2 linked regions of the Elephas maximus indicus genome follow. The protein of the gene in region 1 interacts with the protein of each later gene in a pairwise test. Links are inferred from orthologs where the notes say so. Each region holds a gene or a part of one and is shown in the gene's direction. Other genes may lie near its edges. The genes, in order: PTPN6 and leukocyte-associated immunoglobulin-like receptor 1.

Region 1 (12,099 bases):
TCCTCAGCTACCCTTTCCACGGTCATTGCTACGGTGGCCTCCTCGCCAGCAAGCTACAAAACGGCCTCCCCACCCGGGCCCCCACCGTATGGAAAGAGAGCACCGTCTCCTGGGGCCTACAAGACAGCCACCCCACCCGGATATAAGCCGGGGTCCCCGCCCTCGTTCCGGACGGGAACCCCACCAGGCTACCGAGGCACCTCGCCACCCGTTGGCCCAGGGACCTTCAAGCCAGGCTCACCCACTGTGGGGCCCGGGCCGATACCGTCCGCGGGGCCCTCAGGCTTGTCCTCCCTGCCACCACCGCCTTCGGCCCCTGCCTCAGGGCAGCCCCTTAGCGCCACACAGATCAAACAGGAGCCGGCTGAGGAGTACGAGCCCCCCGAGAGCCCGGTGCCACCGGCCCGCAGCCCCTCACCACCTCCCAAGGTGGTAGACGTGCCCAGCCATGCCAGTCAGTCTGCCAGGTGAGTGGCCTGGGCGGGGTGCGGGTGGGCCGACGACGAAGGGGTGACAGCGGGAGGAGGGAGTAGGCACGGAAGGGGCTTTGCATTCGTGATGTTTTTCAAAGTGCTGTGGGTCCTCTGCCCTCTAGGCCCTGAGGGGACTAGGGGACAAAAGCTCACGGCCTGCGGGGACTGCTTTTGGGACTGTGGGGTGCATAAGGCTTCTTGGGGCTGCATCGCCGCGGGGTCGCCGGGGCAGCTCCAAAGGGCTGAACGCGCGCCGCTTCCGCGTCCGACAGGTTCAACAAACACCTGGACCGCGGCTTCAACTCGTGCGCGCGCAGCGACTTGTACTTTGTGCCGCTGGAGGGCTCCAAGCTGGCCAAAAAGCGGGCCGACCTGGTGGAGAAGGTGCGGCGCGAGGCCGAGCAGCGCGCGCGCGAAGAAAAGGAGCGCGAGCGTGAACGCGAACGCGAGAAGGAGCGCGAACGCGAGAAAGAGCGCGAGCTCGAGCGCAGCGTGGTGAGTGCGTCACAAGATGCGCCACCCGCCTTCTTTCCCTCCTTTGCGCTGCCCAGGGAGGCTGGCTCAAAGGGTGGGGGAGTGGTGTCGCCACCTGTCGGAGAGGAGGGATCACTACAACTCGAAATAGAGACCAAAAGGATTCCAGCTGAAGGAATCTTTTTGCATTAATGGTTTGGGGGAAGGCAAGGTCAGGTGGGACTACCTGTGGGTCTCAGGAAGGGCAGCTATCCAGGGGGGCAGAGAAGTTCCTGGTAGTCATAGTGCTGGTGTTGTGAGGCATTTTGGTAATCAGCTGCTGAGACAAATGGGCAGCTAAGAACTAGCTACTTTCCAGAATTGCCTTTTTGATTGCATTTCTCCGTGTGTCCCACAGAAGTTGGCGCAGGAGGGCCGTGCTCCAGTGGAGTGTCCATCTCTGGGCCCAGTGCCCCATCGCCCTCCATTTGAGCCAGGCAGTGCTGTTGCTACAGTGCCCCCCTACCTGGGTCCCGACACTCCAGCCCTGCGCACCCTCAGCGAATATGCCCGGCCCCATGTAATGTCTCCTGGCAATCGCAACCACCCATTTTATGTGCCCCTGGGGGCAGTGGACCCAGGACTCCTGGGTTACAATGTCCCAGCCCTGTACAGCAGTGACCCAGCTGCCCGGGAAAGAGAGCGGGAAGCCCGTGAGCGAGACCTTCGTGACCGCCTCAAGCCTGGCTTTGAGGTGAAGCCCAGTGAGCTGGAACCCCTGCACGGGGTCCCTGGGCCAGGCCTTGATCCCTTCCCCCGACATGGGGGCCTAGCCCTGCAGCCTGGCCCACCTGGCTTGCACCCTTTCCCCTTTCATCCAAGCCTGGGGCCCCTAGAACGAGAACGTCTAGCACTAGCTGCTGGGCCAGCCCTGCGGCCCGACATGTCTTATGCCGAGCGGCTGGCAGCTGAGAGGCAGCATGCAGAAAGGGTGGCAGCCCTGGGCAATGACCCGCTGGCCCGGCTGCAGATGCTCAACGTGACCCCCCATCACCACCAGCACTCCCACATCCACTCGCACCTACATCTGCACCAGCAGGATGCCATCCATGCAGGTGAGACCCCCCATCTTCCTGCCCTAGCCTCTTTACCCTGGCAGGTGACCAGGTTCTTCTGTTTCTCAGGCGAGACCTTCGCCTGACATGAGCCTTTTTCCTGCAATTGCTGCCTCCTCTCATCCTCCCAGCCTGTCTTCTCATGCCCTAGCCTAGCTGCAGAGCCTATATGCCCCACACTCCGGGCCTCTCCTTAGTCTAGCATCCCACTCATGATAGAGGCCCAAGCTGGAGCTCCGTGAAGGAACACCACCCTTCTACCCTTACAGCTCCTTTCCCCAAGCCCTTCACTTACCTGTTTTCTTGTTCCTCCATTTTCAACTCTATTGTGTCTGCCACTCTTTCTTGCAATCTTCTCGTCCCCTTCCAGATGGAGGTCTTTCACATTCCTCCCCACCTCTAGATCTGTTATCTTCCAGAAAGAACCCCACAGCTTTGGCTTTGGATGTTATAGGTGATAATGAGCTTTACTTACTGTCCTTTCACCATATTTCTTATTGTCCAGAACTTTGCTTTGCATAGCCTTACAGCTGTGTTCATCCTAGGCTCCCTTGTGCCTTCTCTCTTAACCTCCTTTGTCTTTCTGTCTCATTGTTTAAACTTCCATTTATCCTTCCTCATTTCCTCTAAGCAGGCTGATTCTTTCCTTCCTTTTGCTCAGACCCCTCTGGCAACTATAATTTCCTGTGTTCTCTCATCCATATACTTCAGTGGGGTCTAGTCCTGTCCACCTTCCGACCCCCCTAGTTCTTTCATTCTGCCTTCTATTCCGTTCTGGATCTCCCTGTTTCACTGCCCATTTCTCTTCCCAGGTTTCCCTTCATCTAAATGTATAGTCTTCCCAAGCCTGCCTTCTGATGACACCTTCTTCTTTGCCCTCTAGCCTCTGCCTCGGTGCATCCTCTCATTGATCCCCTGGCTTCAGGGTCTCACCTTACCCGGATCCCCTACCCAGCTGGGACCCTCCCCAACCCCCTTCTTCCTCATCCTCTGCACGAGAATGAAGTTCTTCGTCACCAGCTCTTTGGTAAGGATAGAGGTTGGGAGCAGGGAGGCTTTTAACGAGGGAAGGGCAGAAAGAAGGAATTTGAGTAGTAGGATCGACCTAGCTGGGCTTTGGGAGGGATGAGGAAGTGCCCAGAGAAGCTGGGAATGGGAGTAGGAGAGCTGAGGCCCTGTCTCAGCAGGCATATGTTTTCATGCTGGGCTACAGAGGTTTGCATCCTGGCTCCTACCACTGACAACTTGCAAGACTAGGTGTGTTACCTAAATTCTTAGTCTCGGTTTCCTCTGTATGTAAAGTGACTGGCTGTCCCCTGGCCCATAGTGGGTGCTCAGTACCTATCAGTCATGTGCTTCTTGCCCACAGCTGCCCCCTACCGGGACCTGCCGGCCTCCCTCTCTGCCCCCATGTCAGCAGCTCACCAGCTGCAGGCCATGCACGCACAGTCTGCTGAGCTGCAGCGCCTGGCACTGGAGCAGCAGCAGTGGCTGCACGCCCATCACCCCCTGCACAGCGTGCCACTGCCCGCTCAGGAGGACTACTACAGGTATGGGGTACCCTGGGCCAGGAGTGGGGAAGTGGATTCTGCCAGCCTGGGATGGGGCTTGGGCATGGGATAGTAGGGCTCTAGGCTCCTGGAAAAAGAACGCCCCACCCGCATCTGTGAGAGGGGCCAGGTCAGGACTGACCTCAGGCTCATCTTGGCTCTGGACATGCCCTCTCCTCCTAGTCACCTGAAGAAGGAAAGCGACAAGCCGCTGTAGAACCTGCAACCAAGAGAGCAGCCATGGCCCCTGCATCTGGACCTTGGAGCCCCCCCCCCCCTCAGCCTGCCACAAAGAACCCAGGAGAGAAAACTGCTCAGTTGCAGGGCCTTGGCAGCTGGGCAGTTGGGAAGAGGAAGGGACAGACAGAAGGCCAAGGCTGGTGTGGGAAGGTGGGGAGGTGGGGAGGGTGGAGCAGAAGCGCACAGTATCTTGGACCAGGTCCCTCTTCCTTGTACCCCAGCTTTCCTCCTTCCTCAAGCCCAGACCTTGGTGGCCATCGCCCCCTCCCCCACCCCGTTGGTGTGATTATTTCATCTGTTAGATGTGGCTGTTTTGCGTAGCATCGTGTGCCGCCCCTGCCACCTCCCCCAAATCCCTGTGTGCGCACCCCCTGCGATGTATGCCCATCCCCCTCTTCCACATTAATAATTTATATATATAAATATCTATATGATGCTCTTTAAAAAACATCCCAACCAAAACCAAACAAACATCCTCACGTCTCCCCCGGAAGATGGCTACGACTCTTTCTTTGCGGGCTGTGGGGTGGGGTGGGGGTCTCTGCGCAGCAATGCCCAGAGAAAAAGCTGTGGAACCTGAGATTGGAGAAATGGGAGGGACAGGACCTGGGGAAGGAACTGGGTGTAGGGAGCCTGCAGAGCTGGAGAGGGGATCTTGGAAGAAGGATGGTTATACTGGGCAGGAGCGCCATGCCCCACCTGGGGTGCTGCCACTGCACGCCTTCCAAGGCTGGGGAAGTTGAGCTGTTAACAGGCCTGCAACAGGCCCGCCTGTGACATGGTCCTGTCTAAGGAACTACCCTTAACCCTTGGGGGTGTTCCTGCCACTGTTCCACAACTAGGGGCCACCAGAGTCCTCTGGAACAAGGGTTTCAGAGCTGGATCCTTTCTGTGGAATAGTTTGAGACAGTTATGAAGTGGATGTGGGCGTAGTTTCAAGTAGGTCAATGTGATTAGAACTCTAATTACCCTTCGGTTTTGAAGGAGTGGGTGACACTTTCAAAGGGCTGGAGGGGAAATAAGGGCGTTACGCTGCAGCGCCCACCCCTGAACAAGGCCATTTTAGGAAAGCACAAGAGATGCGCTTGCTCCCAGCGTTTATTGCTGCGAATCACAGGCTTCGTTCTTAAAAACTAAGGGGGGGGTGTGTGGCTGGCTGCTGTTTCAGCCAATCAACACCGCGCTCATTTGCATAGGCTCGTAACAAATGTTCACAAACTCTAGAAATGAATAATTGAAGTTAGTTCCTTAGAATATTGTTTTTTCTATTGAAAGCTAGTGGGCTCCGCTGCTTAGACATTACTGACTATTCAAAAAACTCCGCAGTCAGCTCACCCTCAGCTATAGTGGAGTCCAAGGATATCCCACGTTCTCTCCAAGACATATTTCTTCAGTGTTACAGCTCTTTTAGAATTTGTCTAGTAGGTCTTCTAGTTTTTCTGGAAGACCCTCCTTATGTGTTATTTTCAACAATAGACTTAGGTTTATTCGGGTGTGTGTGTGGTTTTTGTTAGTCCTGTTGCGTTAAGATATAAAACCCGTTCTGGTTATTTAGTTTTCCTGGAAGATTCGCGAACTGGGCCATTAAAACTACGCGGTAGCGGCTTCCGGCTGCGGCTGATGCTGCTTCCCATCCGCCCCCCACCGGCCTTACGAGCAGCTGTAGGAGGTGGCTTTTTCTTGGGGAGCATTCCCGCGGCTTCGCAGCACGTGCGGTTTTTTAGTTCTATATGGCGTCTGCCTCGGCCCAACCCGCGGCCCTGAGCGCCGAACAGGCCAAGGGTGAGAAGCATCCCTAATCCCCGGGGTGGGCTGTCTGCCGGGGGAGGATACGGCCGAGGATAGGGAGGGCAATGGCTGCAGTCGACCGGTGTGGGGGGTCCCCGCGTACCATTACTGTCCTTCTGTTAACTGGGGTCCTTGCGCCCTGGAGCGAAGGATTCCGGGACCGGATTTATCGGGTTACCAACGGCTTAGTCCCCTAATTCTCTGTCCCTTTCCCTGGGCTCTCGACCGGGCTCGCTGGTGGTGCTCCGACGCCTACCACGGTACACCTTCCTGGGGTGCCTCTGGGGCGCAGTGGTGTTGGCCGAGGTCATCCAGGCGTTCTCGGCCCCGGAGAATGCCGTGCGCATGGACGAAGCTCGGGACAACGCGTGCAACGACATGGGCAAGATGCTGCAATTTGTTCTGCCCGTGGCTACGCAGATCCAGCAGGAGGTCATCAAAGCCTATGGCTTCAGCTGCGACGGGGAAGGTGGGTTGGACGGGCGGCGTCAAGGTGGGTCGGGGAGAGGGCGCTGGATCGGCTGGGCCCCTGAACTGTGGTTCCCCTTGTTGCCACACGGCGGCAGCCACAATCTGACTAACAGCATTGGCACTCAGGGCGCAGGGTCTACCCTGAACTTGTGCCAGGCGAATTCCTACAGGAGCATTTTGTAGTTACCGTTAATCACTCTAATATCCTTCTTAATCACTCTAATATCCTATTTTAAGATGAGAGACAGAGTCCAATAGTAAAGTGGCCAGGGTCACAGCAGAGCTAGATTTGAACCCAGTTCTGCTAGCGTTTTAGTGAGAAGGCTGCATCACGAGAGCTAGCTCTGCAGCGCCTCCAAGGTGTTGAAACGGTAATCTCTGTTTGGGGGTTGGTGGTGAAATTTCCTTGGTGAAGTCACGCTGCGTCGCAGCCCTCCTGTGCCCCGTTGTAGACCTTGGACCTTGGACCTTGGACCTCTTGGGTATTTATACTTTGGATTCTTGTGACTAAACTGCTAAAATGGCTCACCTGAGAGTGAGATGCACACTGCTTCGGATATTTTTCAGTCACTGTATTCCTATCCAGCTGTGCTCAGCGTGGACCAGGAAGTGGTTGATCCAGGCCACACCGGAGAGAGGCCAGCCTGTGTCCTGTTTCGCAGACAGCTACCTGGCCAGTTGGGGAGCAGCCAGTGACTCATATCCCATCCGCATACTCCTCCCACCATCTTGGGTATGCCAGTCACCAGGGTGTGGGGTTGACTCTCCACTCCCCCTTGTAGGTGTCCTTAAGTTTGCCCGCTTGGTGAAGTCCTACGAAGCCCAGGATCCTGAGATTGCCAGCCTCTCAGGCAAGCTGAAGGCTCTGTTCCTGCCGCCGATGACGCTGCCACCCCATGGGCCTGCTCCCGGTGGCAGCGTGGCTGCCTCCTGAGGGGCTTGGCCCTCCCCTGTGCCCTGTGCTGATAAGGGAGTGGAAGACCTTAGCTTCCCAGAGGATAATAAATGTGCCTGTGACTTGGCCTTAGTGTCAGTCTTTTGATACCTTAACAGCCCCCCACCTCCTGTCTCCAGATTCCCTCACCAGTCCAGGCTGCCCCACCTCTCCCTTTCCAGATCTTTCCTATGCTCCCTGCTGGGCCCAGCCCTGCACCAGGCTCCTCACTTCTCCCCACCCAAGGAAGGGTAAGAGGGTGGGCTGGCCCTTCGACACACTGGGTGGGTGGGTAGGTGGGTGGAAGGGCCTGCATGGTGGTGCCTCCTCTAAGGCATTGGGCTTCCAGGGCTTTTACTTAGGCCCCTTGGTACCCACATTGGTCGGTTTTCCCTTAGCCAGGGCTACTTCCTGGTCTTTGCCCCATCTGCCCTCCCACTGCTCTGCCAGGTGGAGCTCTGGGTGGCTCCTCCCCTCAAAGGGAAGGAGGCCCTGGACAGGCTGACAGGCCTGCTGGACGACTGGGACTGGACCACTGAGCGGGACTAGAGGGGGAAGTGGGAAGTGGGCTGCTGTGGGCTGCCTGAGGCTAACCCCGCCCCACCTGTCCCTGCTCCAGGATCTTTAAGTCCAGGGGCTTGTCCCTGCGGTGCCATTGGCCTGGCAACCTGGTTTGAGGAGGAGGTAGCTGAGTTCTGAGTATTCTTCCTCACCTGGCCTGGGTCACTGTGCTCTGCTGTGGCCCTGGCTTGGCCCCACCCCCTGCGGCTCTCTGCCTGTTACTCCCCCAAACTTTCCTGGGAGATGCTGTCCCGTGGGTAAGTCCCCTGCCCCACCTGGGTCCCACAGGCTCCTGTTAGTTTGGGAGGGAGGGTTTCATGCTCATTCCTGACAGGCTATGTGACCATGAGCCTGACTGGGTCAGCTTCCTGTTCCTACATACCCTTCATCTCCCCAAGGTGCACGGACCCGCATGCTCATTCATGCTCCTCTGCCCCCTGCCTTTTTTATTATACTTTATGCCTGACAGAGGTATGGTCTATTCTCACTGTCTCACATTTCCACCTCTAGCCTCTGGTCCCCTGCTTCTGCCTCCTGCTTAGGATCTACCGCCCCTAGGTAACCCACATCACCTCAAGCATGACATTTCTGAAAGGCAAACCTGAGAAAGCTCTCCCCCGTCCACTCAGCTCCCCCCCTGCGCTTCCTAGTCTCTAGGTTTGGTTCCCTTAACTGCCCCCTCATCATTCATTCAACAAATAAATATTGAGCATCTGTTATGAGCTCAGGCTGCTAACCAAAAGTTTGGCAGTTCAAATCCACCAGCTGCTCCTTGGAAGCCCTATAGGGTGGCTATGAGTGAGATTATGTGCTAGGTACTGTTTAAGGTGCTGGGAATACTGCAGTAAATAAGGCAAAAACAGTCCCTGCTCTCATGGAGCTTACATTTTAGTGTGAAGTTGCAGACCAACCAACCCAATAAATAGAATCATTTCAGATATTCATAAATGTTATGCAGAAAATGAAACAGCTTCATATGAGAGTAAGTGCCAGGGGGGCCAGGGGCATTACTAGCTGGAATAATCAGGGAGGGCTTTTCTAAGGAGGTGGCATTTGAGCTGAGGCCTGGATGGTAAGGAAGATCCAGCCATGTGGTGATCAAGGGTCTAATATTCCTGACAGAGGGCATGGCAAGCACAAAGGGCCTGAAGAGGGAAAAAACAAGCAAAAAAAGGGCAGTATGCCTGAAGCAGAGTCAGCTAGTGGGAAGGGAGGCAGGGCCAGGGCAGGTTAGGCCTTGTTGAAGCATGGTTATTTTAAGTGAAAACCTGTTTAGAGAGTGTTGGTGAGTTTGTGGGTTGGTTGGCCCTCAAGTCCTGCTGATTGTTGCTTCCCACACTCACACATCTGCCCCTTCCTTTCTCTATGCTGCCTCCCCCAGTGCACGCCCTTGTCACAGTCAGCTCCACTGACTGGGTTCTTACTGAGTCTTCTGGCCCTTGATCCCTTCCATACCCCGCCACGTCATTTCCCTAAAGTGGCTTGGCAAGGCCTCCACCTGTGCAGAATCCTTCCTTGGTTCCTCAGCCTGGCCTTGTAAAACCCTCCGTAACTGGGTCCAGACTCTCAGAACAGCTTTGCTCTGGCCGCCCTGCTCCACTCACACCCCAGCCCTGCTCCTCAAGTGGGTCCTATGCAGGCCACCTCTGTGGCTTCGCAGATGCTGCCCCTGGTGCAGTGCCTGCTCACCTCTCCTCCATAATGGCTGTTCGGTGCCCACCCCACCTGCCCGCTGAAGCCTTCTGCAGCAGCATGGTTGGTGTGGTAGAAGGGGCAAGGCTCTGGTTTGTCTGCCTTCCTACTCAGTAGCTTGTGACCTTGGGCAAGTTCCTTAACCTTCCTCTCAGTTTTTGTTTCTAAAAATAGACTAATAATGCTAAGTAGAGTTGGGAGGCCAGCGGTGGTTCAGTGGTAGAATTCTATCCTTCCATGAGGGAGACCCAGATTCGATTCCAGGCCCACGCGTCTCATGCACAGCCAGCGCCCATCTGTCAGTGGAGGCTTGCGTGTTGCTGGGATGCTCAGCAGGTTTCCACGGAGCTTCCAGACGAAGATGTTCTAGGAAGAAAGGCCTGGTGACCTACTTCGGAAAATCAGCCAGTGAGAACCCTGCGGATCACGATGGTCTGAATGGCTGTGCGTGGGGTTGCCATGAGTTGGGGACCAACTTGGCAGCAGCTGGCAACAACAACAACAACAAAATAGGGTTGGCATGAGGATTAATGATATAATGTAAAATCTGTTGGCACTAAAACCCTACTACATATCAGCTCTTTAAGTATTTGGGAAATGCTGTTAAGCCCATCTTCGAGGTGGGGATACAGAGGCTCGGAGAAGTTAACTAACTTTCTAGAGGCTATTTCACCTTGTTTGCTCTTCCAGACTGCCTGTCTTCCTGATCTCTATCTTTATCTCCCTACTTCCCAAAGGGGTAATTTTCTCTTCTGAATTACCACGCACTTAAATTTTTTTTTTTTTTTTTTTGCTTTTCTAACTCTCAGTCTCCCTGAGCCTGTACCCTCGTTTTAAAAAGTGGGGAAAATAATTCCTACATCACAGGGCTGTCTGAGGCCCAAAGGAGAATGTGTGTGTGCTCTGCAATTCTAGAACACTATGCCAAGGTCGTTATTATTTTTTATTTTCCTGCCAAGGGGCAGCAGGGACCATACATCTTGTTTGAGTCTGTCTTTTGGCTTGGGACCCTTCAGAGAAATTCCTGCCTCTTGGATGGGTCAGGAGTTTTGGGGTGCCTCAACCTTGGTGGGTTTCCTTCCCACCAAGTGGGTTTAAGCCCCAGAAGGAGAGTGGTTTATGGCCAGGGTGCAGCGGGTGTTTGGTTCTGAACATGGACCTGGAACTTCGTGTGTAGTGAGGACTGTGTGTCCGTGTGTGGGTATTCGCGCCAGATCAGGTGTGTGTGTGTGGATAGACACGGACAATAAGATGCACGTAGTGGGACCGTTTATGCATAAGTGGTGTGCTTATGTGTGTGTGTGTACTCATCTGTATATGACAAGCAGGATGTGTGTGTGTGTGTAGGACCAGAAGGCTGTACTTGTGACAATGTACGTACATGTGTATGATGAGTTTGTTTATTGGACATTGACTCTGTACCAGTATTGTGCTAGGCTTTGGGCATTCTGAGGGACAAGTCGGCCTCAGCACAGTGGGGGCTGCACATGCTTTTCCTGCCCCGTGGGTCGCTGTATGAAACTGCAGGGGTGGTCAGTGTTGAACTACACCATAGACAGACCAAGAAGTTCCCAGGACATAAGAAAGAGGGGAACACACACACAAAGCAGGGTGTGGGGGGTGGGGAGGGAAAGCTTTTTTTTGGAAGCTTCAAAAAATGATCAAAGTAGTTGTCACTGGAAAATTAGACTTTTGTTGGGCTTTAAAACTCTGTGGAAGCCCTGGTGGCATAGTGGTCAAGAGCTACGGCTGCTAACCTAAAGGTTGGCAGTTCGAATTCACCAGGTGCTCCTTAGAAACTGTATGGGACAGTTCTACTCTGTCCTATAGGATCTCTATGAGTCAGGACCGACTTGACAGCAACAGGTTTGGGTTTTTTTTCGGTTTTTTAAAAGTTTGTTATTTATTTTCTTGTTAGTTTGTGTTGAGGCATGACATATATAATGTGCGTAAATATTAAGTATACGGTTTCATGAACTTAACATTTATACATGCTCTTGTAAACACTACCCAGTTCAAAATGCACCCTCAGTGCCCAAGAAGCTTCCCAGAAATTGCTGTCTCCTAGTCAATTTATTTATTTTTATAAAGGTAATATATGTCCATAGTGTAACATTGAAAAAGGTATTAGGGAGAAGCAAGTGTCTCTTGGAGACAGAGGTGGTTCAGTGGCAGAATTCTCCATGCCGGAGACCTGGGTTTGATTCGCAGCCAGTGTATCTCATGCGCAGCCTCCACTCGTGTGTTTGTGGAGACTTGCGTGTTGCTATGATGCTGAACAGGTTTCAGCGGAACTTCCAGACTAAGATGGACTATGAAAAAGTCCTGGTGTTTCCTTCCGAAATCAGCCAGTGAAAACCCTGTGGATCACAATGGTCCGATCCCATTGCCCATGGGGCTGCCATGAGCTGAGGTAATGACAGCTAACATGGCAACATGTCCCTCCCAGGCCTATTCTCCAGCCACCCAGTTTCCTTTCCTAGAGGAAGCCACCAATATGTGCATCCTTTGTTAGGCTTCTTTCCTCTTGTTTTGGTTTGGTGGTCTTGGTGTTTTGAATTACATACAGACAGCATCATAAGCTTTTAGTATTTAGGGCCTCTAAAGGTCAACCAGCTCTGAGACTATCAGCCGTATCAAGGACCTCAGCCCCTCAGCCCCCAGTCCCCAGCCCCCAGGAGACAGGCCACCTGGTCAGAGTCCTGGGAGCCCTGAGCTCTGGTTGATTCAGACCAGACCTGCCCAGAGAAAACCTGTGGCTTTGGCATAGGTTGGAGGGGAGGGGAAGCTGTCTGGCTGTGTCCCTGACCTGCTCCACGAGA
Region 2 (12,416 bases), on another chromosome or scaffold:
TTCTTCTTTGGGTTATTTCTGTTCTCTCCTTTTTTTTCTTTTGCCAGTTTGGCCTACGGTGTTGCTGTTGTTGTCAGGTGCCATCGAGTCTGTTTTGACTCATAGTGACTGTATACACAATAGAATGAAAGACTGCCCAGTCCTGTGTCATCCTCACAATTGTTTTGCTTGAGCCCATTGTTGCAGCCACTGTGTCAATCCATCTTCTTGAGGGGCTTCCTCTTTTTCGCTGACCCTCTATTTTACCAAGCATGATGTCCTTCTACAGGAAATGCTGCCTCCTGACAACATGTCCAAAGTACGTGGGACTCAGTCTTGCCATCCTTGTTGCCAAGGAGCATTCTGGTTGTACTTCTTCCAAGACGGATTTGTTCATTCTTTTGGCAGCCTGTGGCATATTCAATATTCTTTGTTAACACCACAGTTCAAAGGTGTCAATTCTTCTTTGGTCTTCCTTATTCATGGTCCAACTTTTGCATGCTTACGAGGTGATTGAAAACACCATGGCTTAGGTCAGACACACCTTAATCCTCAAGGCAACATTTTTGCTTAGAAGTGCTTTTTAATACTTTAAAGAGATCTCTTGCAGCTGATTTTCCCAATGCAACGCGTCTTTTGATTTCTTGACTGCTGTTTCCGTGGGTGTTGATAGTGGGTCCAAGCAAAACGAAATCCTTGACAACCTCAAACTTTTCTCCGTTTATCTGATGTTGCTTATTGGTCCAGTTATGAGGATTTTCGTTTCCTTTTGTTGAGGTACAATCCATAACGAAGGCTGTAGTCTTTGATCTTCATCAATAAGTGCTTTAAGTCCTCCTCAATTTCAGCAAGGAACGTTGTGTCATCTGCATAACACAGATTGTTAATGAGCCTTCCTCCAAACCTGATGCCCTGTTCTTCTTCATATAGTCCAGCTTCAGATCATTTGCTCAGCATACAGATTGAATTGTTACAGTGAAAAGATACAACTCTGACGAACACTTTTCCTGACATTAAACCATGCAGTATCCCCTTGTTCCATTTGAACAATTGCCTCTTGATCCATGTACAGGTTTCTCAAGAGCACAATTAAGTGTTCTAAAATTCCCATTCTTCACAATGTTATCCATAATTTGTTATGATCCACACAGTCTAATGCCTTTGCATAGTCAATAAAACACAGGTCAACACCCTTCTGGTATTCTGTGTTTCAGCCAGGCTCCATTTGACATCAGCAATGATATCCCTGGTTCCAAGTCCTCTTCTAAATTTGGCTTGAATTTCTGGCAATTCCCTGTCAATATACTGCTGCAGCTGCTTTTGAATGATCCTCGGCAAAATTTTGCTTGCAAATGACATTAATGATATTGCTTGATAATTTCCACATTCAGTTGGATCACCTTTCTTGGGAATAGGCATAAATAAGGATCTCTTCTATTTTTTTTTTTTTTTCCTATTTGGTTGGCCAGGTAGCTGTCTTCCAAATTTCTTGGCACAGATGAGTGAGCACTTCCAGCACTGCATCTATTTGTTGAAACATCTCAATTGGTATTCCGTCAATTCCTGGAGATTTGTTTCTCGCCAATGCCTTCAGCGCAGCTTGGACTTCTTCCTTCAGTACCATCAGTTCCTGATCATATGTTACCTCCTGAAGTGGTTGAACGTCCACCAATTTTTTTACTATAGTGACTCTGTGTATTCCTTCCATCTTATTTTGATGCTTCCTGCATCATTTAATATTTTCCCTGTAGGATGCTTCAGTATTGCAACTCAAGGCTTGAATTTTTTCTTCAGTTCTTTCAGCTTGAGAAATGTTAAGTGTGTTCTTCCCTTTTGGTTTTCTATCTCCTAGTCTTTGCACATGTCATCAAAATATTTTACTTTGTCTTCTTGAGCTTGCCTTTGAAATCTTCTGCTCAACTCTTTTACTTCGTCATTTTGTTCTTTTGCTTTAGCTACTTGATGTTCAGAGTTTTTTATGACATCTGTTTAGGTCCTTTCTTTCTCTCCTGTCTTTTAATGACTTCTCGCTTTCTTCATGTATGATGTTTTTGATGTAATGCCACAATTTGTCTGGTCTTTGGTCATTTGTGTTCAGTACATCAAATCTATGCTTGAGATGGTCTCTAAATTCACGTGAAATATATTCAAGGTCATACTTTGGCTCTTGTGGTCTTGTTCTAATTTTTTTTCAGTTTCAACTTTAACTTGCATATGAATAATTGATGGTCTGTTCCGCAGTTGGCTCCTGGCCTTGTTCTGACTGATGATATTGAACTTTTCCGTGGTCTCTTTCCACAAATGTAGTCTATTTGGTTCCTGTGTATTCCATCTGGTGAGGTCCACGTGTGTAGTCTCCATTTATTTTGGTGAAAAAAGGTATTTGCAATGAAGAAGTTTGTCAATTTTGTTGATACTTTCAAAGAACCAACTTGTAGTTTTGTTGATTCTTTCCATTGTTTTTCTGTTCTCTCTTTCATTTATTTCTGCTCTGATCTTTATTATTTCCTTTCTTTTGGTGGCTGTGGGCTTCTTTTGCTGTTCTCTTTCTGTTGGTTTGAGTTGTGTAGCTAATGTTTTGATTTTGTCCCTTTCTTCTTTTTTGGTGTGCGTATCTATTGCTATAAGTTGACTTCTGAGCACTGCCTTTGCTGTGTCCTAAAGACACGGTATGATGTGTTTTCATTCTCATTTGATTCTAGGAACTTTTTGATTCCATCTTTGATTTCTTCTATTATCCAGTGGTTTTTAAGAAGGGCTTTATTCAGTTTCCATGTATCTCATTTTTTTCCTTGTTCTTCCTGTTATTAATTTCTACTTTGATAGTGTTGTGATCAGAAAAGACACTTTGTGTTATCTCAGTGTTCCAGATTTTGTTGAGGGCTGCTTTGTGACCTAAGATGTGGTCTATTCTGGAGAACATTCCAAGTGTGTTGGAAAAGGATGTGTACTTTACTGCCATTGGGTGGAGTGTTCTATATATGTCTATGAGGTTAATTTGGTTGATTGCTGCCCTTAGATTTTCTGTATCTTTGTTGATCCAAGTAAAATTGTTTGAGGAAAATGTGCCATGCTTACCCTGTGGTGAGGTGCTTTCTCCTTACACCTCTAAGAAGCCTTGGATACAAGTGTACTCCACTTTGGGGACAAAAGTCTTAGAAGAATGTAAAGGTAGAGGGGTCTTCTGAGAATAGTGAAGAGTGACAGCTTCACATTAATCTCCTTAAGGAAAAATCTGCAATAACTGCTCTAATGAACCATATGGCCTTGGTTTGTGGAGGAACCTATAGATGTGAATGCTTTCACTATTCCTTTTTTATGTGGTCAGCAGAAAGCCTGTCCCCAGATCCTCACTTGGCATACAGTATTCAGGTTTGGTGACAGCACCCATCAGTCTAACCAGGAAAACAGAAAACTTTTCTATGTATTTAAAAGAGGAGGAGCTAAATGTAATATGGTACCCTGAATTGGATCCTGGAACAGGAAAAGAAGATTAGTGGAAAAACTAGTGAAATTCACATAAAGCCTGCAGTTTCATTAATTAAATAAACTTAGGCTTCGTTGGTTTATTAATAAACCAACATTAATTTCTTGGTTTTGACAAGCGTACCACAGTGTGTAAGATGTTAACATTAGGGAAAGTTCGATGAAGGGTATATGGGAACTGTCTGAAACTTTGCAAATCTAAAATTATTCCCAGATAAGAAGTTTATTTTAAAAAATTGTTTAGCAAACAAGTAAGTATTTTACAAAAAGAAAAAATAACCAGTAGTTGTCAGAAGGCAAAGAAGCGTAATGAATCTTTTGCCAGTGATAGAAATCTTGAATTTGATGGTGGTTTTAGGGAACTGTCGAAAATAATTGAATTGTATATATTAAATGGATGCAGTTGAATGTTTATAAATTATTCTTCAATAAAGGTGATTAAAATTTATTAATGTCTGGGGGAGGAGGGAGGAAAACACAATGCTTGGGGTACACTGAGCTTCTGTTAAGGGTGATGGTATAATATGGGAACGAATAAGGATGATGGTTGAACAACACGATGAGCATAATGTCACTGAACTGTACATGTGATGATTGTTGAAATGGCCAAGTATATTTATCCCATTAAAAATATTTACTGATGAAGGTCTTCCATAAAGAGATGAGGATGATTTAATGCATAGAAGCCATTGTCCAAGTGTAGAAATGGCACAGGAGCAGAGTCTGACCTCCTCTAACTTCACAAGGGGGAAGGAGAATCAAGATCAATAGCCCAAAGCTGATTCCTATGATGCAGAGGTCAGACATGCCTCCTCTCCCTGCCATCTTTACTAATTTAAACCCCAATTTTCCCTCCCATAGCACTCTGTACTTCTCTGTTGGGTTTGATAACTCATTGCAATGGCCACCCAGAACTCACAGACAATACTCACAATTATGAGGTTTATTAGGGAAGTAACACTTATAATTCAGGCTCAGTAACACTCAGGATACAGTTATTCCCATCAGGATAGCCTCTTCCCAGCTGTGCTAGGAGAAACACCTCCCCTGGGCCCTCTGCCTCTTACCAAAGGCACTCAGGTTTCTCTCTCTGTGGGCCAGGAATCCCACCATGTTGTCTCCTGCTGCTGGCCTCTGCTGTTGAGTGTCTGTGCCGAGTCTTCTGTCTTTAGAGTTACAGCTCTCTGTCTCCTGATTCCAGGAACTTTTCAGCAGGGCAATTCAGTGTCCAAAGGGTGTGCTGGATCCTGGCTGTTCTTCCTTGGTGTGGTAGGATCCTCTCTCTCCCACCTCTAGGGTGGCTCATTTCAAGCCCAGTAGGGTGGCAAAACTAACCAATCCCTTTGGTGGGCTACTATTACCTATCACATAGCCCCACCCAGTCACTTGGGTGGGGGTTACAAGACCATGGCTAGAAAGACTGCACAAAAGTGAGCCATCTCACTGCATCAAGTGAAAGAACTGAGAAGCAGAACAGGGGAGAGGGATGCAAATTGAGATTAGCAAGTGTAGGGAGGTGGAGGTCCATAGGGAGCAGGCAATGCTACTTGAACCCATTGGGAGAGGTCACCATATAAAACTCAGAATTATGCCTGACAGAAACTGGAGCCATGGGACAGAAACCGTTGTCTAGGTCTTGAGTGTGTTAGAACGTGGGAAAATAGCCTGGCTCCACTCTTCTCCCCACTCTGCTAGTTTACAAAGGAGCTTAGGAAAGGTGGTGTCACGATCACTTCCTTGACATTAGGCACAGCTTGGGGGATGGATCTAACCATAAATGGACCAAAGACTAGCTTTGTAAGGAATGGAGACATAAAGCCACTAGAGGTGGGAAAGCAGAGAAAGGGGACGAAGCAATACCCAGAGGTAGAGAGGGGATTGAGAAAGACAGACAGCAAAAGAGAGGGAAAGAAACCCACAGAAGGACTGTCATGGATTGAATTGTCTTGCCCCAGAATATGTGTCAACTTGATTAGGCCATGATTCCCAGTATTATGTGGTTGTCCTCCATTGTGTGATTTTCCTATGTGTTATAAATCATGATCTCTGACTGCGGTTAAAGATGTTTACAGTGGGATGTAACACCCTTGCTCAGGTCACACCCTTGAGCCAATGTAAAGGGAGTTTCCTGTGGTGTGGACTGCACCACCTTTTATCTTATCTTACAAGACGTAAAAGGAAAGGGAAGCAAACAGAGACTCAGAGACCTCATACCGCCAAGAAAGCAGTGCCAGGATCAGAGTTCTTCCTTTGGACCCAGGGTCCCTGAGCCTGAGAAACTCCTAGACCAAGGGAAGACTGATGCATTACACGAACCTTCCTCCAGAGCCGACAGAGAGAGAAAGGCTTCCCCTGGACCCAGCGCCCTGAGTTCAGACTTCTAGCCTACTGGACTGTGAGAGAACAAACTTCTCTTTGTTAAAGCCATCCACTTGTGGTATTTCTGTTACAGCGGCACTAGGTGATAAAGACAAGGACATATACAATGAAAAAGACCAGACAAACAGAAATACATAAGACTGGCTGGTATTAGTGATTTATTTTCAGGAAGAAACTTTTTAGTTCTTGCTTTGTGGTAAGGAGTCCCTGGGTGGCGCAACTGGTTAAGATCTTGACTACTAACTGAAAGGCTGGAGGTTCTAGTCCAGGTCAGAGAGACGTCTCATAAGAAAGGTCTGACAATTTCGTGCTGAAACGTCACAGCCTTGAAACCCCTATGGAGCAGTTCCACCCTGATTCACATGGGGTCGCCATGAGTTGGAATTCATTCAAAGGAAGCTGGTTTGGTTTTTTGGTTTTCTTAATGCTAAGTTTCAAAAACAGATGTGTTCCTTGTAGCCCTCGAAAGTTGGAGAGTAATTTCAATCATTCTCACTACAAAGTGGAAGCTTTTGGAAGCTGGCTTAACTAAGGGAATGGGTCCCTAGACTCCTTAACTGGGGCGACCCCTGGGTTTTATCTTTTGCCCCCTATAACATACAAGGCCATGAAAACAAAACTGGATTCATTGCCCTCAAGATGAGAGCCAGGTTCAGAGCTTGGTTTGACTCTGAGGCTTTCACCTCCCATTAATATTTGTGTGTATGTGTGTGTGTGGTGAAAATATACACACCAAAACATAGGACAATTCGAAAATTTCTACATGTAAAATTCAGTGACATTAATTACATTCTTCATATTGTGCAACTATTATCACTATCCTTTTCTGAGTTATTCCACCATCATTTACATAAACTCAGTGACCCCCTAAGCAAAAACTTCCCATTTTCCCCTCCTTCCTACTTCTGGTAAACACCGGTAATCTGTGGTTTCTATATAAGCGCCTGTTTCACATAAGTGAGATCATGTAGTAGTTGTCCTTTTGCGGTTGACTTATCTCACTTAGCAAATGTCTTCAAGGTTCCTCTATCTTGTGGCATGCATCAGGACTTCATTTCTCTGTATGGCTGGGTAGTATTCTATTGTGTGTATATACCGCATTTTGTTTATCCATTCATCTGTTGGTGGATGTCTCTATTGTTTCCACCAGTTTGACATATTTGATGTGCTAAATACCTGGCTCAGGGCCTTGGGTAGGGAAAATGGTTAAGCACTTGACTATTAGCTAAAAGGTTAGTGGTTTAAACTCACACAAATGTGCATCAGAAGACAGGCCTGGTGATTTAACTCCAAAAGATCAAGGCCTTGAAAACCTACGAAGGACAGTTCTACACTGCACAAATGGGTCATCATGAGTTGGAATCGACTTAATGGCAACTAACGACAACACTATTAAATACTTGGAGGAGGGTTTTATGTTTCCCGTTTTTAATATGAGGAACTGGAGACTTAAAATAGCATCACGTCTTGCCCAAGAACAGATGGTAATTAGTTCGTGGAGTTGGGACTGACGTTCAAGTCAGTTTGATTAATAACCTGTGTTCAGCCTGGCCCCATAGATTTTGCGTTAACGTGTAGGGGATTTGATCTAGAAATAAATTCAGTCTCGCACAAGCATTTGAATATGAAATATTTTTCAGCAGCCAAGTTGTTCCACAGCCTCCGACCCTGTCCTTTCGGGGGGAAGGGTGAGAAGAGTGCAAAGTACTGAGGGAAAAAAATACTCTTCCTCTTTTTGGGAGGCTGTTGCTATAGAAATCTCAAAGCAGAGCCCCAGAAATACATCCTGTTTGCTGTGTCTGCTTCAGGCCTCTGCCCATCTCCATCTGCTCCAGGGCAGGCCAGGCTTCCGGGACTGTGTGATGTCTCTTACACCCACCACTTTCCTGGGCCTTGGTGAGTCTGGGACCGAGGAGGGAGAATTAGAGGATGGGGGAGTCCAGTCTGTGTCGGGAGTCCAGTTCCTTGCTCAGTACTGACTCCATCTGGGAAACTCTAGGACCTGGGCAAGAAAAGCTCTCCTCTGCATGGGTCTGTGCACTCAACTCTCTTTCAGGTCTAGGTCTGACCACAGAAGGCTTCATCTCAGAACCCAGTATTGGGGGTGGGGACGAGTTCAGACTTAAGAAGGGCTAGACTAATGTATTTGGAAAGGGGGGGCTTGGGGATTTGTCTTGAAACTATTTCAGAGCAGGAAGAAGGGTTATATATATAGTCAGACTAATGTTGGAAAGGGCCGGTTTGGAAATTATGGGTGGCTAAATTCCCTTTCAGGTCCCTGGATGGTTGTCATGGATTGAATTGTGTCCCTCCAAAATATGTGTCAACTTGGTTAGGCTGTGATTCCCAGTATTGTGTAGTTGTGCTCCATTTTGTGATTGTAATTTTATGCCAAAGAGAATTAGGGTGGGATTGTTTAACACCCTTACTAAGGTCACACCCCTAAGCCAAAGTAAAGGGAGTTTCCTCGGGTGTGGCCTGCACCACCTTTTATCTTACAAGAGATAAAAAGAAAAAGAAGTGAGCAGAGAGGGGAGACCTCATACCACCAAGAAAGCACTGCAGGGAGCAGAGCGCCTCCTTTGGACCTGGGGTCCCTTCATGGAGAAGCTCCTAGTCCAGGGGAACACTGATGAGGAGGCCCACCGAGAGAGAAAGACTGCCCCTGGAGCTGATACCCTGAATTTGAACTTTTAGCCTACTTTACTGTGAGGAAATAAACTTCTCTTTGTTAATGCCATCCACTTGTGATATTTCTGTTATAGCAGCACTAGATGACTAAGATAGTGGTGCAAATGGTTTGTGCTCCGCTACTAGCTGAAAGGTTCGCAGTTCGAAACCACCCAGCAGGACTTGGAAGATGAGCCTGTTGATCTGCTTCAGAAAGGTCACAGCCTTGAAAACTCTGTGGAGTAGTTTTACTCTGCACACATGAGGTTGCCATGAGTCTGAAAGGAATGGACAGTAACTAACAATAACAATGATGACAAATCCCCTCTTCCCCCATCAAAGCCTTCCCTTGGTAATATCCCTGTTAGGATATAGGGTGGTAGGCATTTTTCTCACTGGGCCTTCTCTTCCAGTGCTCTGTCTGGGACCAGAGATCCAAGCACACAATGGTGAGTCATGTCTTTAAACTTCCCAGCTCCCTCTCCACTCCAAGGGCAACTGTTGGGTAAGAGTGATGCTGACTCAGGAAGGGACTGGGGGGAGACCCTTAGATATACCCCAAATTGCAAATGACTCCACATGTATGACCCTAGCCCAGTTCGCTTTACTGTTCTCCATCTGTCTTCTTATTAAGAAAACAAAAACAGAAAAACATTTGCTATCTAACTGAAAAAAACCAAAGCCATTGCCGTTGAGTCGATTCTGACTCATAGCGACAGTAGTTGACACCAGTTCATGATGGCGACTCAATGTGTGTCAGAGTAGAGCTGTGCTCCATAGGGTTTTCAACGGCTGATTCTTTGGAAGTAAATGACCAGGGCTTTCTTTTGAGGTGCCTCTGGGTGTATTCGAACCACTAACCTTTCAGTTAGTGGCCAAGTGCTTAACCATTTGCAACAACCAGAGACTACATCTTCTTAGAAGCTCCACTTAATGCAGCAAAACCAATTCAGATTGAACATGCTCAAAGTTGGCCATGAACTCCTCCATACAAGCCAAGACCTCCCTATGCATCCTCTTTACAGGGAATATTACAGTCCCAAAAGGCAGAATCTGAGAATTCATCCTAGATCCCGTCTTCACACTTCTACATGTTGTATATCACCAAAGAATGTTGATTTACCGCCTACATTTTTCTCAAGTCTTCTTGCACACTCTCTCCCCAACTGCATCCAAGCCACTTCCATCTCTCAGTTACATGGCCGCTATTCCCCCCACCCCTCTGTGGGCCTGCCTCCACTATCTACCCATGCTATCTTTTCTACCACTCCCTCTCCACACCAAAGCAGTGGCTATTTGCATTTTAAAAGCACTACCATGATCGTTTTAATTCACAACAAATTATTTTATGTAAAAAATGTTCACTTATTTTATATTTTTCATTATTTCTTTAAATTTTATTTTTCACTTATTTTTATTTCATTTTATTTATTTTTTCAGTTAAAATTTTTTTTTAATTGTAAGGCAAAATTTTATGTTTCCTTGAAGTCCTCCCAGGGTTTATCTTCAGATAGAATCATACTCTCTTTTATCTGACCTCTATTTTCTCAGGCACACCTGGCCCCCATGCTACCACCTCACTTATCTCCAGGCACCCTGGCTTTCCTTCAGGTTTTCAAACACCCCATGTTTGCGCTGCATGACTTTCTCGTACACTGACTTCTCTTCTACCCCCTATCTGCTCAGCAGAGATAACTCATCCCTCAGGTCTCAGCTTAAAGACCCTCAGAGAAGAGTCAGTGCTCCCTTCAGTTGGCTCTCTCAATACCTGGACTCACCCATGAGGACACTTGTCACAGTTTGTAGTGTAAATTTGGACAATTACTGATCAGTGTCTGTCCTGCTTCCTAGGCTTTTAGCTCTAAGAGGGCTGGGATGATACCTGACCTTCTCATAATTGTGGAATTAGTGGTACATGCAAAGAATATATAAGCTCAGAGAGGGAAGGAACTAGTATTTAGTTGAAGGAATGAATGAGTGGGTGGGTGAATGAATGAGTGAGTGAATGAATGAATCAGAGAATGAGTGAGTGAAGGAATGAGTGAATGAAATGAATGAAGTGAGAACGTGAGTGAATGAATGAATAAGCGAAGGAATGAATACATGAATGGAAACTCCACCAACCCAAGTCATGGGGCCAAGGCCCATCCTGACTCATTCCCACCCGATTTTGCTAACTTCAATGCAACGTTCTTGTATCTGGGCTTCAAACCCCTCTCTCCGCTACCCTTGTCAGCCAAGTTGAGAGAGGCCAAGATTTTTCAAGAAGCTTAATAAGGAGGAAATGGAAATAAGGCTCAGATGGATGTAGAAAATACACAGGAAAACCCAGATATGATTGCTCAACAGAAGATTTGCGTTAGAAACAGGGAGCCTTCTTTTGCTGGGTGTCCACTGGGAACCACGCCTGTGCTGGGCGTGTTACCCATACCTCTCCTTGGGTGCCTATAAGAGCTTTGCAGGCCCCCGGCCCTACACCTCACACAATCCCAGTGAGGACTGGCCCCAGCCCCAGACTCATTCCTGCCAACCCCAGACTCCTCCTTCCCTTAGATGTCTCCATGAACATCCTGGCCATCCCCATTCTTTGCCTCCCCCTGCTGTCTCTTCATTCCCTGGAATGTGGCCATGAGCAGGGACAGAGCTGGGCTCTGCAGAGACGTGTGGGATCTGGTGTGGTTTTGGGACACACATACTTCCTGAGTGGCATGAGAAAGACCCAAGGTGTGACCAAGTCTCTCTCTCTTTATTGTCAAGTAGAGAAAACACTTCGTCAGTGATGAGAATTAAAATGGATGTGAGGAGTCTTTTGGGGACGATGGAAATGTTCTAAGCTTGAATTGTGGTGATGGTCGCACAACTCTGTAAATTTACTAAAGCAAGTGCATCGTACAGCAAAAAATGGGGGAATTTTATGGAATGGTGATTTCCTCACGAGTGGACTCTGAGGTGTTTGCTCTGATTCCTTCCTAGGGAGCCTGCCTAGACCCTCCATCTCAGCCGAGCCAGGCTCTATGATCCGCTGGGGAACGCCTGTGACCTTCGTGTGCCAGAGCCCTCGTGGGGCTGAGGCATTCCGACTGGAGAAGAGTAAAAGTAACTCATACCAAGATGTGAAGCTCTCTTCTGGGACTGAGAAAGAGGCTAGGTTCCGCATCAACTCAGTGACGACAGACACTGCAGGGCGTTATAACTGCCTTTATTTTACAGGGAATACCTATTCTGAGCGCAGTGAGTTCCTGGAGCTGGTGGTGACAGGTGAGGAGGCATCCAGAGCCCCTACCCCTCTCAGACTCTTTCCTCATGTTTGTACCCAGGTCCTGGGTCCTGTCCCCAGCTCCACCATCTCTCCGCAGACCCCCACCCTCCTCCAACCTCTCCTCCCACACCTGTCTGGCTCCCTCAGTACACCTGTCCCCTCTGACTTCAGACACCGCTGAGGTTCATGGAGACTTGTGTCTCGTGTGGACACAGTGGAATACCTGGATATTCAACTCCAGCATCAAAAGGTGGACAGTGTTGGACACTGCTCGATGGGCTGGCAAGTGGATTCCCAGCCCCCTCTGGTTCCTCTGTCCATAGAATGGTTGCAGGATGGATTCCCTTCAAAGGAACGTGCATCTTTTTGCCCGGGATGGCATGTTAAATAGTCCCTTAAATTGATCCAGAAGCACTGTGACCTCAGGCAATATGTTGTCCTGTGATGTGGTCCATCCCTCCCATTGAACGGATCCACACTGTCCAGAGATGGCCTGTAGACTAGGGGTAGACAGTCCTTTGGGGGAACCTATGGGGTGAGACAGGCACTGCCTTGTGTGTGCTCAGACCCTGGTGAGGTCCTAGAGTCAAGGTCCAGTGAGGAGGCTCCAACCCAATGCATGTGGTCCCAGGGCCTCCATGCT

What was found.
Region 2: the proteins of PTPN6 (region 1) and leukocyte-associated immunoglobulin-like receptor 1 interact in binary tests that used the Homo sapiens proteins (3 or more experiments, as listed by UniProt). The link is inferred for Elephas maximus indicus from reciprocal best matches to the Homo sapiens genes PTPN6 and LAIR1.

Annotation. Positions count from the first base shown.
Region 1 is NC_064822.1:63,737,254-63,749,352, forward strand, and holds the start of PTPN6 (tyrosine-protein phosphatase non-receptor type 6), read left to right. Parts: upstream 1-7,527; 5' UTR 7,528-7,828; coding exon 7,829-7,842; intron 7,843-12,099. Other genes in the region: ATN1 (atrophin-1), read left to right, coding at 1-467, 746-968, 1,345-2,041, 2,925-3,068, 3,411-3,591, 3,775-3,808; C4H12orf57 (protein C10), read left to right, coding at 5,562-5,613, 5,912-6,088, 6,873-7,024. UniProt on the Homo sapiens protein: Tyrosine phosphatase enzyme that plays important roles in controlling immune signaling pathways and fundamental physiological processes such as hematopoiesis.
Region 2 is NC_064829.1:92,514,550-92,526,965, forward strand, and holds the start of leukocyte-associated immunoglobulin-like receptor 1, read left to right. Parts: upstream 1-7,628; 5' UTR 7,629-7,706; coding exon 7,707-7,740; intron 7,741-8,927; coding exon 8,928-8,963; intron 8,964-11,487; coding exon 11,488-11,772; intron 11,773-12,416. UniProt on the Homo sapiens protein: Functions as an inhibitory receptor that plays a constitutive negative regulatory role on cytolytic function of natural killer (NK) cells, B-cells and T-cells.